Neurospora crassa OR74A: one gene and its partner. The protein of the gene in region 1 purifies or fractionates together with the protein of each later gene. This does not show direct contact. Links are inferred from orthologs where the notes say so. Each region holds a gene or a part of one and is shown in the gene's direction. Other genes may lie near its edges.

Region 1 (3,750 bases):
TCTTGACCATGTTGAGGAGGTAGGTGCGCTCTTCCTTGACGATCTTGTCCATCTGGCGGTAGTCGTTTACGGAGATGGTGTTTTCCATCTGTAAGAGTGAGTTGTTAGTAAAAGCACGAAAAGGGTAGTGTTTGGGCGATTTAGGGCCAGCAGGCAAGGTGGGTAGGTTATGGTCGCCAGAAAGGTATACGCACATCAGGCTTGGGAGGGCTGAGCTGGAACTGAATAAGACCGATCCTGGCCTTCTCCATCCTGACGGGACCACCAGCGCTCTTGATGACGGGCTGTGTAAGGACGAGACCATCAACCAGCTCGCTGTCCTCGATCGTACCGCCGACCTTCTTGATTATGCGGATGTTCTTGAGGTCGACATTCTCGGCGGTCTTGAGATCTATCGTCTTGGTGACTGCGTTGACGGCCATGGGGCCGAGGAGGTTGGAGTATTGTGACACGATCTTGGAGGAGAGCGAAGTGTTGGCGGCCTGGAGGAGCGAGGCGGTATCTGTGAGGGAGATGGGTTGCGACATGTCGTGGAGGACGTCTACGGCAGCGGCGGCGGCTCTTTGGAAAGCTTCGGAGATGACTGAGGGGTGGATGCCCTTGCCTAGTAGCCTGTCGGCGGCACCGAGCAAGCTACCGCAAAGGACGACGACCGAGGTTGTGCCATCACCGGCCTCGACATCTTGGGCGTGCGACAGCTGGACGAGCATCTTGGCTGTGGGGTGCATGACCGACATGCTCTTCAACATTGTGCTGCCGTCGTTGGTGATGATGGTCTCCCCCTTTCCAGTCATGATCATCTTGTCCATACCCCGCGGTCCCAGCGACGTTCTGACGGCATCGGCGACGGCTGGTGCATGTCTCTGTGTCAGCACCCCAGACAACAACGACACAAGACGGAATGACAAAATGTTGTAGGCATACCTCTGGCGGCGACAATGTTGGATGAGCGAACGGCGATGGGCTTCTCCTTGTCCTGTTTACATGGTGGGCTATCAGCAACTGGCTTGCCACAGAGCTTCACCCCTCCTCCTGGAGCTTTCGCACCGACTCCTATCGAGGGGTCAGGTTCCAAAAAGCGGGACGCACCCTGAAAGTCGCATTGCTCGCCGTCTGGGTAGCTGCCGGTGCGGTCGCCATGGTGCAAGCTTGTTTGATCTGGTATTTGGGATTATGGGAGATAGTAGACGGGAGGTCGGATGGGGGGATCAGAAACTGCCGGAAATTCGAGTTGACAGTTTTGGGGAATCGGCTTGCGCTGGGTGCAGTGCAGTTGTTGTGTTGTAAGGCAGAGCTCTCCTCTTCTCCTTCTTTGCTGGTCTGGAATCAATGGGCCAAAAACACACACACACACCGTCCCCTCCGTACCAATGTTTCCACTGCGGGACCGTAAAGTGAGTGCTGGCGCGGGCGCAAAGGTGGGCTGGCAGGTGGTAATTTTTTGTCGGCTGCTTTTTGCTGAGCGGTGGGCGGTGGAAAAGGTACCTGCGGCGCTGTAACTTTACACAGTCTAACCGGATAGGGTTAGGTAGGTGCTGTCAAGGTGGCACCCACCCGTAGCTCCCTCGCCCGCAAGGCAGCGCATGGATTACGGCAACGATTGAGCTTCGACCCTCTGTCAGTGAGTGGTGGCAGTTGGACCTTGACGAACCATCTCCATCCATCCATCCATCACATCAAGCAAGCACTGAACACCCATCAAACCAACTTGAACCCGACACACCACATCAAACCCGCGCCGAGATCTCTACAACCCCACGAACGACCCACGCCAAACAAGGAATCTCTCGCCCGGAGCCATCGCGACTTTAATTACCGACCCGATCCTTTCGATTACCCACCCTTCTTCGCCTTACCTAGTCCAAACGGGAAGCGTCATTCCCACCCGCCGTCATCATGGTATGCTTGCAGTCGCCCTACCCAAAGGTGCAACGCCACTTTGCACGACTGACACCGGGAATAGCCTTCTGCCACAGGTCAAAACTGGGAGAAGTACAGGAAAACGTTTGGCGACGATGAAGTCGAGGAGAAGAAGATCACTCCCCTCTCAGACGAGTATGTTGCCGCCCAAGAGAGCCCGCCCACCACTACCACCGCAACGGACAAGTCGTCTAACCCCCGTCAAGGGATATTCAGGTCCTCAAGACATACGGCGCCGCGCCCTACGGTGCTGCCATCAAGAAGCTAGAACAGCAAATAAAGGAGAAGCAGCAGAGCGTGGATGAGAAGATTGGCGTCAAGGTATGCTAGTCTTGCGGTGGCTACCCTACAAACCGCGAAGCGCATCTAGCTGACCAGTGATACTTTTTGGTCTACAGGAATCAGATACCGGCCTTGCGCCCCCTCACCTTTGGGATGTGGCAGCCGACCGTCAGCGTATGTCAGAAGAGCAACCGCTTCAGGTAGCGCGGTGCACCAAGATCATCCCTGACGAGAAGGACGAATCGAAGAGCAAGTACGTCATCAACGTCAAGCAGATCGCCAAGTTTGTTGTCCAGCTGGGCGAGCGAGTCAGCCCGACAGATATCGAGGAAGGAATGCGCGTCGGCGTCGACAGAAACAAGTATCAGATTCTCCTTCCGCTACCTCCCAAGATCGATGCGAGCGTTACCATGATGACGGTCGAGGAAAAGCCTGACGTCACATACGGCGATGTCGGTGGTTGCAAGGAACAGGTCGAGAAGCTACGCGAGGTCGTGGAGATGCCCCTCTTGTCGCCAGAGCGGTTCGTCAACCTCGGTATCGATCCCCCCAAGGGCGCCCTGCTATACGGACCTCCCGGCACCGGTAAGACGCTTTGCGCCCGTGCCGTTGCCAACAGGACAGACGCCACCTTTATCCGTGTCATTGGTTCCGAGCTGGTTCAAAAGTACGTCGGTGAGGGTGCCCGCATGGTCCGCGAGCTTTTCGAGATGGCCCGTACTAAGAAGGCTTGCATCATCTTCTTTGACGAAATTGATGCTATTGGTGGAGCCCGGTTCGATGACGGCGCGGGTGGTGATAATGAAGTTCAGCGTACTATGTTGGAGCTCATTACGCAGCTGGATGGTTTCGATGCCCGTGGCAACATTAAGGTTATGTTCGCTACTAACCGTCCTTCCACGCTGGATCCCGCCCTGATGCGTCCCGGACGTATCGACCGCAAAATTGAGTTCTCTCTCCCCGATCTCGAGGGTCGTGCCAACATTCTGCGCATTCATGCCAAGAGCATGTCAGTCGAGCGCGATATCCGATGGGAGCTCATTTCTCGCCTGTGCCCGAACGCGACGGGTGCTGAGTTGCGTAGTGTTTGCACGGAGGCGGGCATGTTCGCCATCCGTGCGCGCAGGAAGGTGGCGTCGGAGAAGGACTTTTTGAGTGCGGTGGACAAGGTCATCAAGGGCAACCTCAAGTTCAACTCTACTGCGGCCTATGCCCAGTACAACTAAACGGGGAGGAAGAAGCGCATCAATAGCGGAATGGGGAGTTTGGGGTTTTTGGTTTGTGTTGAAACCGGAAGTCTAGATGTGTAATAGATGATGAATCAAGAGCGGCTCGAGATGGCACTCATAGCTGGGACTTGGGAGAGTTTGGACCGCCAGATCCCACACAGTAGGCACAATGCAGTAGGCTCTCCTGACAAGCGAAATGAACATACGGGCGGAATGAATAGGTATCATGCCTACTGTTGTTGATGATGAACATGGATTTGAAGCGATTGCATACCTATGTGACAAAATGTGACAGCAAAACTCCATGGCAGACATGGTG
Region 2 (3,291 bases), on another chromosome or scaffold:
TTGTGGGGAAAAGCTCACAATCATGACCACCTTGCCCAAATCACCCGTAACTTTCAGATGGCGCTTGTTGTACTCGTCGCGGAAGGGAATGACGACAGTGCATCCTTGTCTCGCTGCAAATGTTCTTGATATAAGCCATGGTGATCTCTATAGAGGCCTACGCCACAAAGTCGCCAGATCGTACCTAGTCTGTTGACGATGTAGCGGCCGAGTTGGCCGGTCGCACCGAAGACTGTCGCCGTATGTCCACCGAGGGAGGAGCTGTGGAGGTAGACGACGTGTTAGCAATCGCCCATTCTACCCAAGCAGAGATATAGCAACAATTACCGGCCACCCTGGTTACGGATGATGGGCTTGCCGGTGCGGGTGATGGTCACGTCGGAGATAGCTCGTCGCTGAAAGCCAAAGGCATTGGAAACGATAATTCTGGGAGTCGACCGCATCGCGGCCGTCAAGGGAGCCATCTTGTGAGTTGGGGGGTGGCAGGGCTGGCCGGATCCCGTTCAATTGGTGATGGAATCAGAGGCTATCCGGAGCTTCAAGCTGCCGTCTTCAATATCGAATCCGGGACGTCGAAGCCGGCTCTCGCTGCCCGCCTGCTGCCCGCCTGCCGTCAGCACCCCCCCCCCCCCTTCAATGTACCCAGCGACCAAACTGCTGACGGGAATCACGTGTGCCAAGCTTCCTCACTTACACTCAACGGCAGTACGTACCTCTGCCAGATAGACATGTACCTTTTGGGCTCCCGCCTCCAGTACGTACCTTAGCTTCACCCAGCTTCCACTTGGCAGTGACTGTGGGGGCCTCCACAGTGCTGGGAGAGCATCCACAATGACCGACCGTAGCTGGCTGCACGCCTAATGCCGCGTCAAGGCTTCACTGCAAGACGTCAACCAAGACAACCTCAAAACAACACTTCCACTTTCATCCCGTCCTCCATTGTAGACGTACCACTGCATTGTTCCGCCGGGATTTTCTACAACGAGCAACATCCCACGATAAGTACGCTGGTTTCCATCCGCAGCAGACTCACCGACGTTTCCACCAAAGAGACCGGATCCTCGAGAATCTGCCTACCTCCCCAAGGACTGGACAGCAAGGATCGATAGAAGACTCAGACACACACACCCACACCCACACCCACACCCACACCCACACCCACACCTAGACACAACACCACAGCCATGAACGTCGACACCATCTCCGACTTCCTCGCCGAGCAGCGCGACCAGGCGCCCGAAGAACTCCAACCCCTCGTCCTTGAGTTCGAGACACTATGGGAGCGCAAGCTGTGGCATCAGCTCACCAACCTGCTGCTTGAGTTCTTCAACCACCCCGGCAGTGCCCCGCAGAGGCTACAGTTCTACAAGGTCTTCATTCTCAAGTTCGCCGACAAGATCAACCAGCTCAAGCTCGTTGATCTTGCTCTCAAGGCCGCCACACAATGTAGAGGTGCGCAGACGGTCTTCATTTCCTCTGCTTCCAAACATGCATCTGGCAGCTAGCACTAACCACGCCTGGGTGCGCAAACCGTAGACAACCAAGAGCGCCTCTCCTTTTTGGAAGCCGTCGTCAAGAAGGTCGACCACGAAGACTCTCAAGACGCCTATGTATTCGCCACGATCGCCGTTGCCCGCGTGAAGCTCGACCTCTCCGACCTTGACGGCGCGCGCAAGGACCTGGACACGGCCGAGCGAATCCTCGACAACTTCGACTCGGTGGAGTCGGTCGTGCACGCCGCCTTCTACGACACCAACGCCAAATACTTCCAAGCCAAGTCCGACTGGGGCTCCTACTACAAGAACGCGCTGCTGTACCTCGCCTGCATCGACGTCAAGTCACTTTCACTCGAGGAGCAGCGCCAGCGCGCCTACAACCTGGCCATCGCGGCCCTCGTCAGCTCGAGCATCTACAACTTTGGCGAGCTTCTGCTGCACCCCATCCTCGACGCCCTCACCATCGACGACCGGCACAAGTGGCTGCACCAGCTCCTCTTTGCCTTCAACCGCGGCGACCTTGCCGCATACGACCTACTGGCCAGCCACATCAGCTCGGACCCGCTGCTGGCGCAGCACACGCGCCAGCTGCGCGAGAAGATCTATCTGGCGGCGCTGACCGAGGCCGTGTTTCGCCGCCCGCCCCATGACCGCGCCATGTCTTTCTCCACCATTGCGAACGAGACCAAGGTACACCCCGACGAGATCGAGCACCTGATCATGAAGGCGCTGAGCTTGGATCTACTGCGGGGCACGATCGACCAGGTTGACGAGGTGGCCCACATCAACTGGGTGCAGCCCAAGGTGTTGGACATGCAGCAGATCAAGAACATGAGGCAACGGCTGCAAGAGTGGGATTCCAGTGTTGACAAGCTGGGTAACTGGATCGAGGGTGTGGGCCAGGATGTTTGGGCTTAAAGGGTGGACGAATCTACGGACGGTGTGAGGAGATGGGAACAATTCGGGCGTTCAAACGGATGGCATCAAACCTGGAGATACAGGAGTAAACCTAATGCTTAGATCAGGGAACAAGGCCAGCTAAAGGCATGATGTTATTCCGCTGCATGAGGCAGACCGACTTTGCATGATACATATGAATACCCATAACGCATGACAACGCCCACGGCGTACGTCCTCCATTCTCTAAAAATCCAGGCCCATGCTTTGGCCTGAGTTATGTCTATGTGAATCCTCTCCATGTACGCTCCATGAACAAAGGCAAATCCAAAATACGCCGGCAAAATATGCTTCCTTGAACGCCGCAAAAAGATCAAGTAGTGTACAAAACGTAAATGAGCCATCTGGCACGTGTTTACTGGAAACAACATCATACACAGGAAAAAAATATTTGCTGCTTACTTGCCCCTACTCGTACACCGTTTATCCGAGCTCAAGACAGGGACCGAACAATGTAAAAGAGAAGATAGGCCTTTGCGTTTAGCACATCAGACTTCTGGGCCAGTTCAACTTTGTGATCGTTAAATGCGAACCACTTAAATAAATGTGCCAAAGGCAGCGGGTCAGCAAGTCTAACCCTTCAGGAACTAGATGTGTGTCATGGTTCACTAGTCAGACTCACCTGGTCGCCAACCCGGCAATAAGAAATGTAGTGTCCGGTATCCATGTCGCCAACGTGCACAACAACGCATAGAAGATCGTAAGTGCAGGACCGCTGTAGCTCGTAGTTATCTTTGAGATCCTGTGTTCGTGCGCGTGTCGTATAAGGCAGCATGTTGAGTTGTAAAGGAAACTGGACAGGTGTCTCGATCTTCTGGGCACGATCATTACGCCCTTG

What was found.
Region 2: the proteins of rpt-1 (region 1) and rpn-9 purify together in Saccharomyces cerevisiae (affinity purification with mass spectrometry; 6 studies listed by BioGRID, with this or other methods). This does not show direct contact. The link is inferred for Neurospora crassa OR74A from reciprocal best matches to the Saccharomyces cerevisiae genes RPT1 and RPN9.

The regions. Positions count from the first base shown.
Region 1 is NC_026501.1:8,944,738-8,948,487, reverse strand, and holds rpt-1 (26S protease regulatory subunit 7), read left to right. Parts: upstream 1-1,329; 5' UTR 1,330-1,896; coding exon 1,897-1,899; intron 1,900-1,963; coding exon 1,964-2,055; intron 2,056-2,126; coding exon 2,127-2,241; intron 2,242-2,318; coding exon 2,319-3,428; 3' UTR 3,429-3,686; downstream 3,687-3,750. Other genes in the region: NCU02839 (T-complex protein 1), read right to left, coding at 1-88, 195-850, 925-976, 1,090-1,140. UniProt on the Saccharomyces cerevisiae protein: The 26S proteasome is involved in the ATP-dependent degradation of ubiquitinated proteins. The regulatory (or ATPase) complex confers ATP dependency and substrate specificity to the 26S complex.
Region 2 is NC_026507.1:2,715,836-2,719,126, reverse strand, and holds rpn-9 (proteasome regulatory particle subunit), read left to right. Parts: upstream 1-809; 5' UTR 810-1,184; coding exon 1,185-1,452; intron 1,453-1,536; coding exon 1,537-2,414; 3' UTR 2,415-2,663; downstream 2,664-3,291. Other genes in the region: nuo40 (NADH-ubiquinone oxidoreductase 40 kDa subunit), read right to left, coding at 19-113, 185-261, 328-464; NCU02375 (ubiquitin carboxyl-terminal hydrolase 2), read right to left, coding at 2,887-2,988, 3,076-3,291. UniProt on the Saccharomyces cerevisiae protein: Acts as a regulatory subunit of the 26S proteasome which is involved in the ATP-dependent degradation of ubiquitinated proteins.